3 linked regions of the Schizosaccharomyces pombe genome follow. Changing the gene in region 3 together with the main gene of any one other region gives a genetic interaction. Each region holds a gene or a part of one and is shown on either strand. Other genes may lie near its edges. The genes, in order: dsh1, ckb1 and lem2.

The links.
Region 1: of lem2 (region 3) and dsh1, changing one enhances a phenotype caused by changing the other (phenotypic enhancement), as found in Schizosaccharomyces pombe (one study listed by BioGRID).
Region 2: of lem2 (region 3) and ckb1, changing one enhances a phenotype caused by changing the other (phenotypic enhancement), as found in Schizosaccharomyces pombe (one study listed by BioGRID).

The regions. Positions count from the first base shown.
Region 1 is NC_003423.3:423,691-427,446, reverse strand, and holds the start of dsh1 (protein dsh1), read left to right. Parts: upstream 1-2,000; coding exon 2,001-2,037; exon of another isoform or gene 2,038-2,096; coding exon 2,097-2,224; exon of another isoform or gene 2,225-2,286; coding exon 2,287-2,526; exon of another isoform or gene 2,527-2,574; coding exon 2,575-2,700; exon of another isoform or gene 2,701-2,754; coding exon 2,755-3,023; intron 3,024-3,051; exon of another isoform or gene 3,052-3,073; coding exon 3,074-3,535; intron 3,536-3,575; coding exon 3,576-3,665; intron 3,666-3,708; coding exon 3,709-3,756. Other genes in the region: BRCT domain protein Brc1, read left to right, coding at 1-1,287.
Region 2 is NC_003424.3:4,500,141-4,503,896, forward strand, and holds the start of ckb1 (CK2 family regulatory subunit Ckb1), read left to right. Parts: upstream 1-2,141; 5' UTR 2,142-2,267; coding exon 2,268-2,290; exon of another isoform or gene 2,291-2,369; coding exon 2,370-2,649; exon of another isoform or gene 2,650-2,854; coding exon 2,855-3,247; 3' UTR 3,248-3,542; coding exon of another isoform or gene 3,543-3,756. Other genes in the region: nuc2 (anaphase-promoting complex TPR lobe subcomplex subunit Apc3), read left to right, coding at 1-140; 1-acylglycerol-3-phosphate O-acyltransferase Slc1, read left to right, coding at 494-819, 883-1,396; ric1 (Rab-specific(Ryh1/Ypt6) Ric1-Rgp1 guanyl-nucleotide exchange factor subunit Ric1/Sat4), read right to left, coding at 3,543-3,756.
Region 3 is NC_003424.3:2,232,162-2,235,917, reverse strand, and holds the start of lem2 (LEM domain nuclear inner membrane protein Heh1/Lem2), read right to left. Parts: upstream 1,641-3,756; 5' UTR 1,321-1,640; coding exon 1-1,320. Other genes in the region: protein Edc1, read left to right, coding at 1,831-2,769. UniProt on the Schizosaccharomyces pombe protein: Nucleus inner membrane protein involved in meiosis. Plays a role in regulating nuclear envelope (NE) morphology and nuclear integrity, particularly during spindle pole body (SPB) extrusion or insertion through the NE, and perhaps during karyokinesis.

The sequences.
Region 1 (3,756 bases), on a different chromosome or scaffold from region 3:
GGCAATAAAACGAATGAAGAACTAGAGAAGGAATTTAAAAGCACATCAGATAATTTTGGTAAGCACATAATACTTACTTCAAGTTTCTCTAATCAAAGTGCTGATAAAGGTTCAAGCTTAGCAGCTGAAGATGACCGCAATGATGAAGGTTCCACGATTACTGGAGTAAATAGAGAATTGCAAGATGAAGGGCGTTTAGAAATAGATGCTAAATCTTCAAAAACTAATACTCCTCCCTCTCCACTTTTAGTGGGTACTCCTAGTAAAGAGTCATTAAAGGAGGCTTCTTCGGATGACGAGTTACCTGTTTTGGCTACGAAACTTGTTGATAATGTCATTAAAGAAAAATCCCCATTGTCATTAACTCCTAAAGTGGTAGTTCCTTCGCATAAAGAAACTTATACGGACGAAAAAAAGCTGATAGATGAGCTTGACAGAGTGAATCCACTCAATTCTTCACAACTTCTTCGAAGTAAACGGAAATCAGCGGCAACTGCCTTATCAATGTTACAAAATGTCATCATGCCAGACGTTCTTGCTTTTGAACGTGAAAAAAAAAGACGTCAAACACACCGGTCAGTTTCTAGTGGAGAGGTTTCGCGCGAGTCTTCAGAGTCTCGAAACACTAATGCCAAAGCTAGTAAAAGAGTATACATAACCTTTACTGGTTACGATAAAAAACCTAGTATCGATAATCTTAAGAAACTTGACATGTCGATTACTTCTAATCCAAGTAAATGCACACATTTAATAGCTCCTAGAATTTTAAGAACATCTAAATTTTTATGCTCTATACCTTACGGACCATGTGTTGTTACAATGGACTGGATTAATTCTTGTTTGAAAACTCATGAGATCGTGGACGAAGAACCGTATTTATTGAATGATCCCGAAAAAGAACTTGAACTCGGATGCACTTTAGAATCCGCTTTGAAAAGAGCACGGGCACAAGGTCCTTCTCTGTTGGAGGATTACGTTGTCTATTTGACTTCAAAAACTGTAGCTCCTGAAAATGTTCCAGCGGTAATTAGCATTGTTAAGTCCAACGGAGGTGTTTGCTCAACTTTAAATGTTTACAATAAAAGGCTGGCACGTCACTTAGAAGATGGAAACGTGGTCTTGATTACCTGCAATGAAGATTCTCATATTTGGACTAATTTTCTTGATAATGCTTCCCAAAACAAAACTATCTTTCTACAAAATTATGACTGGTTGATTAAAACTGTTTTACGCCAAGAAATCGATGTTAATGACCGTATCGCTGATGAATTTGCAAGAGCTGTTTAATTAGTTTACTATATGCCAATACTTCTACAAGTTTGCAAACCGAACCTTGAGTACAAAGAGATTTTTTATTTTATTGAAATTATTTTTTACACTACACTTTCCCAAATATTACGGAAACATTCTTTTTTGGTCCTTTTTTCCGTTCACCTACTCTGATCATAGCACTATATTTCTTTCACAGCAGCAAAATTCAGGCATGCTTGACAACTAAGGATGTATGCCTCTATCCAATATATATACTTGATACGTAGATGTCTTTCCTTTAAAAATACTAGTCCTATACCGTTATTGCAACTAGTGAATCTATACTCGTTACTCCAATTGTCACCTCAACTTAAGATATGTACTGAGCAGTACTACAGGTATTTCCAAGTTTGAGCAGGTTTAGCACAAGGGCAGTTTAGGTCGTCCTTTATGTCTTCCTTATGGAACAACTTTTTGTATAATAAACAGGTACTTCTCAAATTACGAAATCTTGCTTGAATCCTATATTCTAGATATTTGCTCTCAAAAATCAATTTTGGTAAATCACCACTTGTAGGTAAAAGAATATGATCTTACTGAACTGAATGATCATGATTATCTAAAAATGAGAATTATTAGTCAATTCAATGTTAAAAAATTTTATTATTTTGAAGTTGGAAAAAGATCACTTATGATTTGCTGACAGATTGGAATTCAAGAGCAGTCGACTTCAGAGAAAAAAACATGCAATGGCAGAAAATAAGAAATTTTCAATAAGAAAAAAACGTATGAAATGCTCATTGAATGTACTGGGAGCTTTGACTAATATATTGCTTTTCACCTAGGCGAATGTTCATATCCTACGTTCAGAACCCTTTATGAATTTAACAAATTTTTTTTGAGGTATAAAACTGAGATTTCGAAAATTCAAAGAAGAACCTCTTCATTAATTCAGTATGAAGAGCACTCAAGTGTAGGTTTGTTTGGGGTTATCCATTCATTGATTGCATTTCTAATTAGCATATATTACTACAGGCTATTTTCATATATTATGAAACCCCACAAATGTTTGACTTGGCTACCAAGGCACTGCAAACACTTTACAACTCCCATACTCGTGAAGGCGAGACAAAGGCAGCTTCCAAATGGTACAGAAATCCCCGAAAAGATTTTCCAAGTCAAGAAGCTGCTTTAGTAAGAAAGAAGAAACGCGATGCTTTGATTTTAAAAAAATATTTACTCAATGTGGATCCTTCTTTGTCATTTCGTGCAGAGGTAATATTTACATATTGAGCTCATTTATAATAACTTGACGATTATTAGGGTTTATTCACATTACCTTCAGATGATTTGGACGTTTACGAATTTTTCGGTGGAGAAAATCTTACTTTATTCAATCAAGTCCGTGTGGATTGCCAATGTTATATCCACTATCTGCCCAAGTTAGCTGTATGTATTTTAAGTAATTTCTTTTTACAGGATGCTTACATTTCATTCTTTCAGGCCTTTTATGTTCGATGCGACAGTGTAAAAAACTTAAAGGTTGCTTTGAAGCGAGTCAAACACATTTTTTACGAGCAGGTCTCTTTAATTAGATTAGAAAGGACTCAGCCAATACTGCATCTAATGAATTTTGACGACTACTCAACCTCTTATGAACTGTTTTATGATCGAAACTTCCCATTAGCGAAGAAATACAAGCCAAATTCTATTTATCTGCATCGCCTACCCGAATCGATACCGACTCCTGTCGATAGTGTTAAAATTAACTTGTATGTGTTTTTTTTTAAAAAGGCTGGTATATTTATTGACATAACTATAGGATTCGTGAAAGGAGTTTCAATCTTTTAAAAAATTTCGTTTCAGCATCTTTATTTAATGTTTTTTTATTCTCAGGTACAGTTTTTATGCGAGTTAAAGTTGGTATACCTCTATTTGAACGACTCAAAGTTGGTACTAATAAGGTGAAAAATAACTCCGTGAACATTGCACAAAGTTTTTTGGAGCCCCAAACACGGTCAACGTTTTTGAGGTATTTATTCTCTGACGAAGTTTCCGTAAAAGTTTGCCATGTTTTAAAAGAGCTCCGTAGTCCCACAGGCGAAAAACTCTTTGAGTCTTTTTCAGATGATCCTATCACAGCCGTACATTTTGAAGTGATGAATTGCAAAGGTGTTCAAGATACATTGACTGCAATATGGAATACTAATTCAGGCAAACCTAGCGGGTGGTATCTTGAAAGTACTATGTACAAAGCCTTGGACGTTACCTATTACAACTTGAAGTACGTGTTTTTACTCATTTCTTTTCTAACACTCTTGCAGTACGCTTTCATGGAACCTTTACATTGAGTATGGACATCCAACCCAAAACTCAACTTTTTACAAAGAGTTCATATCAAATATTTCTATGTCGTAAGGCTGACTATTAAAAGAAAATTATAAGCTGACCATAAAGTGATGATGGAAGAATCTATTTTATGAATACCAGAGACATAAAAGTTCG
Region 2 (3,756 bases), 2.3 Mb from region 3:
CCTTAAAGCACTTCACTATAGCATGGAACTTAGACGGCAAGGCTACGCATATTATTAAGGAATCGATTGAAAATCTGGATATTCCCGAAGAAAATTTGTTAACTGAAACAGGTGAAATTTATAGGAATCTGGAAACTTAAGAAATTATGTCTTGTATTTTAGGGATGCCAAAAAATTGTCGAATGAATAAGTTAATGAGTTAGAATGTTTACGTCTTCATTCTGGTTAGGTTTAAAAATGATGATTTTCGTTTAGAAGTTATATATTAAAATAAAGGTATAATAGATATCATTAATAACCAATGATAAAAAAAATTGTGTATAAAATCACCGTGGGTATAACTTAAGTTTAAAGTGTGCAATTAATGAAATGTCCTCAGGCCATTCATTTTTATTACGAATCACCAACGTTACTATCACCGCACCAACCATACTTTAAAACGAAAGGAAGGGTTGTTGAAAGTTTGCTCTTCTCTACTGTGTACATATTCGAAATGGGTTTTATTAAGAGCACGCTGCTTGCTACTGTGACAGTATTTGTTGGTTTGTGCGGAATCAACCGATTTTTTACTCTCCCGAAATGTATTAGATATCACTTTCGCTATTTCGCATGTCACACATTTTTAGCTATTAGTTCTGCTTATGGGGTTATAGCCTCAGTTGTTGCACGTTTATGTGGTTATCCCGTAATGGGACAATATTTAACTGCAAAGGCATATTATGGACTGGCTAGTACAATCCTTGACTTTCGGTTTAAAATCGAAAACGAGGAAATTTTGAGAAAACATAAGTCTGCTGTCTTAGTAGTTAATCATCAATCGTAAGCATACCTCAAAATATACTTCTTTATGATAAAAAATAACTGACTTACAATTTTAATTAGTGAATTGGATATTTTGGCTATAGGAAGGACTTTTGGCCCTAATTATTCTGTTATTGCTAAAAAGTCTCTAAGATATGTGCCCATTTTGGGATGGTTTATGATATTGTCTGACGTTGTATTTATCGATAGGTCTCGCCGAAGTGATGCGATTCAACTTTTTGCGAAAGCGGCACGAAGAATGCGCAAAGAAAATATTTCTATTTGGGTATTTGCAGAAGGCACTCGTTCCTATAGCCTTAAGCCCTGTCTTCTTCCCTTGAAAAAGGGCGCATTTCACCTTGCTGTACAGGCTCAAGTACCCATTATTCCTATTGCAATTCAGACTTATGGTCATTTGTTTCATCCTCCTACCAAAGTATTCAATAAAGGTGAAGCTCTGATTAAAGTGCTTGATCCAATTCCTACGGAGGGGAAAACTGCTGAAGATGTGAATGATCTTCTACACGAGACTGAAACCGCTATGAACAATGCATTGGTTGAAATCGATGACTATGGAAAGGTAAAAAAACAGTAAATAGGAAGAAGACACACAATTGGTGTTCTTATATAATTACTTGTTAGTTCAACTGAGAGAAGCATTTACCTATCCTAAGGTGGTTTGTTTCGTTTTAAATCAAATAGGTTTGATAATATCATTGACGCTTTTCTTTTTTTGTTTAGAACAAGCCGTACTTTTTATAAATACCTCTATGAATAACTGATTAATTTAGCTTTACGATTTATTTGGCAGTTACTAGGTAGTAGCTGGTTATGTATATTGCAAGATTCCCTAAGTACGAATCTCGAGAAACGCAAGCCATAGTAATTTATATAATTCACTGTGGATTCGAAGCGAGAACAGTTTGTTTGTTCAAATTTCCAATTGAACCAACGTTTTATCTATTGCGACTTCTTATTAAGCAGTACAATATTAGAGACTTAACTACAATGATAGCTATATCATTCTACAAAGTGTCACTGTCACACCTGTATTATTCCTTAAAAGGTACAACATCAAGTATAATGTAAATAACACAGCAATAACAAAATAGAAGTTGCTTTGTAGCAGATGGAACGCTAAATATTTCATTTTTGTTGCTAAAGCAGTTTTAATAGAATGAACTATTGTGCTACTATAGTGCATCCCAGTGCATAAACGTTTAAGTGCTAGATAACATACCGAAGTGCAGCAAATTGAATTTCTAGTAACACGCTAATTAGTTTTTCATTCCTTTAGTGTAGAATGAAGGAAAACACCGGAGCTCCAGAAAGACTACGATACGACAACGTACTTCTCTTCAAATTTTCCATATATTAGAAGCTGCTAAGGCTGAAACGGAAATCAAATTTTGCATTAAGCAATTAGGATTTTTGGTGCAGCTTTTCAACGTAAATCGGAACGAAGCATGCAGCTATACTCTTCGGAAAGGTTTGTGCAAATTAGGGTTAAATAAAAAAATATTTTACATTTTGGCCATATTGGACCGTTTATTAATCATTAATTGCAGTGAATCCGATGATTCTCAATATTGGGTTGATTGGTTTTTAGGACTAAAAGGAAACGAATTTTTTTGCGAAGTCGACGAAGACTTCATCCAGGATCGCTTTAATTTGACTGGATTGAGTCATGAAGTTCCACACTACTCCCAGTCTTTAGACCTCATTTTAGATGTATTGGATCCTGATTTACCAGAGGAAGTACAAGATGAGGTAGAAGCTAGTGCTCGTCATTTGTACGGCCTTATTCACGCCCGTTATATCTTAACGGCTCAGGGTTTATATAAAATGGTAAGCAATTATGTTTGTAAACTTCTAGTTTCCTGTTTTTAAGTTTGGATACAATCTTCGTGAACAAAACAGGCATTAGACAAGTATAATGGACACTAAGTGTGTAACTTGACTTATCTTTCAATTCTTCAATTTTATTACATTTATGTCATACCGTACTATTTCGTTTTAATTAGCTTTGGATTTTGACTAACATCCTTTCTAGCTTGAGAAATACAAAAAATGTGACTTTGGGCATTGCCCTAGAGTTTTATGCAACGGACAGCCAATGTTGCCCGTCGGCTTGTCGGATATTGCCCATACAAAATCCGTTAAATTATACTGTCCTCGGTGTGAGGATGTGTACACACCAAAATCACAAAGACATGCATCCATTGATGGTGCATATTTTGGAACCTCATTCCCTCACATGCTTTTTCAGGTATACCCTGAACTTGCGGTCCCTAAATCTCAAGAACGCTACATTCCACGTATTTTTGGTTTCAAAGTACATAGCTATTCTGCTACCTTTAAAAAACAAGATGTATACAAAGAAAAGCAAAAAAAGCGTTTACAGGGAGCCGAAGCTGAATCAAAAAATAAACTGGCAATAACTTAAAGGCATTTTGCTTAATCTTCATTAACAATAGAAGTTCACCCGATTCTTCGAAGTCCCATAATCACCAAGGCAAAAAATTTTATTTACATTATAGCTATGACAGTTTTTACTAGAATGAACTTTTACGTTTTTAGATTTTTCCCGAAGCATCAGCTCCTTTTATCTAAGAGCGTAATTTTCAAACTTCTAATCATCATTGAAGCTAAAACCTTTTATGCTTATTCAGCTTTGAACCTCTTTTTTTACTTTGATAATTGCTTTAATAATTTAGTTTTGATCATGACATATACTGTGGTTAATATTTATCCACTTCTTTCATCAAATTGTTAAATTGATCGTAAAGACGAATGTCCTTGGAATCAGGCCCTTCATCGAGAAGTTCCAGCGCTGTCTTCAGTAAACGTTTTTCGGGATCCAGACTCACCAGGTAGCTAGATAACTCCGTACAAACGTCCCAGTTTTTTATTTTTAAAGCCATTTCGTATATACTTAGAAAGGTAGAAGCACAA
Region 3 (3,756 bases):
GTTATTGCTACAATGCAAAATTGCATTCCAGGATCTTAATACACTTAAACATTCTTCACGAAAAATATTAACACTTTCTTCTCTAGAAGTATCACTAACGCAATACTTGGAGGGCCAAAATCCTAAACTTGAATACCATGGTTCGTAGAGGACATATCCGGGCTTGCATTCAACGTAATTTGGAGAGGGACATATTGCATTCGGAGGGCAAGTTCTACACAATGATGGAAAACTTATTCCAAGAATTGAAGCAGAACTTCCACTGGCACCCGAATCACAGAATCCTGCTGTAAACATTTTCTCCCGTAATAAAGCCAGAAAAATTGCTGCCACCACTCCTAATAAAATCATAAAAATATGCACTAAATAAGAAGAAGATATCGCGCTGATTCCAGGAAAGGCGCGCAAATTGTGAAGAAGACGATAATTGGCGTACTTAATGTCGTGAAATACTTTTTTAATAAACGACCAAAGTTTGCTTTCTTTTCGAGTCTGCTGCAAAACGTAATTTTGAAAAAGCTCGTCATCTTCCTCAGCAGAGTCTACTTCAGAATAAGGCGATGAAGATTCAGAGGGCCTTGCACTGTCAAGAGGAGCAAACTCGATATCTCGAGAGACTCGCTCAGGAACATTAGTAAAGGGTCGTTTATGTTGAAGAGGACTAGAAGTGGCTGAAGTTTGTAGACGATGTGATATTTTGGGAGACCTCAATTGTGGAGAAAAATTGTTTGAAGATGAAAGCAGCTTTAACCTCTCCGAAAATGCTGGCGAAGTATGTAAAGCAGAGCTATCCATAAATGACATAGGAACAGCTACCCTATGAGATTTATGCGAGCGAAATTTTGGTGTAGACGCGTGGGCTGGCGGAGTTTTCATAGTCAGCGATGTTTCCACATTAGGGCTCAATTCAGAATAGGACTGAAAGGTATTATTTTGAGAGACGTGCGGAGACTCTATTTTAACCGGGGTTTCAATGTTGCTAGGTTTGTCAATGAATTGTGGAGACAGAAGCGGTTCTGTTTCGTTGTGTGGCTTTTTCGTGCTTTTGGAAGGAGAGGAGGGATAAAGGTATTTAGGAGCTATTTCATCCTCGGAGCTAGACGCTTTTGAGGTGTTAGAGTTTTCCTCTTTTTGAAGATGAGACAATAAATGTTGTGGACCAGAGCTTAATTTGTTTTTCCGTATTCTATCCACCATCCTAATATACTCTATTTTTCTGGCATTCACAGGGAATGACACTCCCGATTCATGAAGGATCTTTTTCAAGTCTATGACACGAAGATTTCGCAATTCGAAGTTAGGGTCCTCCCAATTGTCCATGGTGAATAATTCAAACTGATCAAAAATGGTATAAAGCTGATATAAGCTAGTTAATTACATGAATCCTTATCTACATTAAAAAGGAAACCTGGCATAAGTTGCTGATTCGTGAACGTAATTGCAATCCCATACAAATTTATAATATTACAGCAATGAGCTATAATATACTTAGGAAATTGCTTGAATTCCACTGTTCAAACACACCTTTTCAAATTTAATAAAAGACTTCACTAAACGAAGGTAAAGCAATTTCTTATTTCTCTATCTTTGTGCCGAATCTTTGTTTTCCTTCTTTCTTTTTGCCAGTTAAAGTGGGTGGCAAATAATGGTTAAGGGAAGAAAGCTCTATAAGGAGGCATAGCGCAGCTCATTGCTTTGTGTCACCTCAGCCCAAATAACGTATATTGGGTAAGAGTGTTGCCCCCGAAGTTATCCTTAACCAACATCAATCACTAAGAATACAGAATCCATGATCATTAGGGATTACTCGAATTTTGACTATAGTAAAAAATGCAAAAAGACATTGGACGTAGATTTCAACGTAATAAGAAGAAAATTAATTCTAAACCGGGCGGAGCAATGGTTGCTTCCAGCGATGTCGAGTTCAGTTTAGATGGAATGTCGATTATGCCCCAACGAGATGGTAATCTCCAGATACCTAACTTTGTGAAACCCAAGAGTACTTTTGCTACTTCTAACATTGGTGAAAGCAATGGTAAGCGAAATGGCGATAAAGTACGCGGGAATCGACGCTCTAAATCTGGTCACAGTTCGTATGCTGGCTCTCGTATCTCAGGTGGCAATTCTAATTCCCACCTTCCTTCTGGTGTTGCTTCGGCTCCTGCTGGCTTAGGAATTGATAAGGTTGCCGTCGGAGAAGTTGATTCTCATTTGAAGTCTGTATCTTCTTACGTTTCCAATTCTTCCGGTGCTGATCGATCTTTTTCTTCGAATTCCTCTTCCGATACTAATTCCATTCTTTACGCCGGTCCTACATTTACTCATTCTCCGGCCGCTTCTAATCTTCCCATCCCTACGTTCTTACACTCTCCCGTTTCCGAAAAGGCTGAATGGCAACCTCCTACTGGTAGTGTGAACTCAAACATGCCTTTCCAGTTTCATCAATCTTCCTCTGTTCCTTCAACCCCATCCGAAGTTGCCATGGGTCATAATTTTTGTCCGATGTCTCGTAACGATCCCTCATTGCAGAGTATTCAACAGACGAATGGATTTTACAGTGGACACAATTCTCCTCATACTAACTATTCAGCTTCCACTCCTTCTTTTAATCACTTCAATGCTGCCGGCCATCCCACTGGTAACATTACCCCTACTTTGAATTCCCCTAATAACGGCATTCATTGTCATTCTACTTCTGCCCTAGACTTATTGTTTCATCGCGATCGTGAACAGCGCTTGTTCCGTATGCTGCGTCAAGGAAGTGCATAGTTTCATTGGATGCTTATTTATGTCTAAGGACATATCACCTTTTTAAGCCTCGTGTTCTGTTCTAACTATTCCACTTTTTTGTTTCACCTTCTTTCGTCTCCGCGTTTATCTACACGTGTTCGTTGTAGCACTATTTATTTGAACATTGGCCAAGAGAATTTATCATAGTCTAGTATTTTTGCTAGTATTATGACTTTCTTACTATCACCCTATGTACCTCTGTCTTTCTGTTTTTTTGGATTATAGAATTTAGCTCTCTATATGGGTTAATTTTGTTTCCTTCGCTTTTGGTTTTTAGAGGATTTCATACAAAAGCTACTGAATTCCTTTTCTAACGGCTTATAGTTAAAAGAAATGCCAACGTTTTTAATGGATTTCTTGGATTTGAAATCTTGATTTTTATTGACTAGATTTCCTTAACTTCATCTTATTCCTTGTTAGTTAATTGAGCGAGCAATTCATTTATAATATGGAAATGTTCGTCAATGACTATTTATCGAAAATGTGCCTCGTTTACTTTTCGATTTGTATGCTTAGAATGGGCATTTGTTACCTTTTTTATGAGCGTTGGGTGTTATGATCTGCATATTGCATTAATTTTATTCTGGCTAGTTTTTATTATGCTATTAATAATCTCGTTGTGCTTTTATCGAGATTTGTTTGAAACTTGTTTCACCGGTCTCGTACATTTTTTTCTCTTGTGTTTTTTTCTTTTAATTTTCCTAATTATTACTGACGTGTTGCCTATTGCTTTGCGATGACAGTACATCTTATTTTCCTGTGTCGAGGATTATAGTTATAATCTTCTTTTCCTCTCATGAACTTGGCTTTGGTTGCCAACCTTTTAAACTTTCGTCCATGATATACATGATGTTTGCTAATATAAGTGATATTTATGTGGTCACCTTTTTTGGCGAATGTTGTAACCTATCTTCTACGCTCAAGGAGTACATGCAATGTGCTTTATGCTTTTTTTTTTTTGAATGT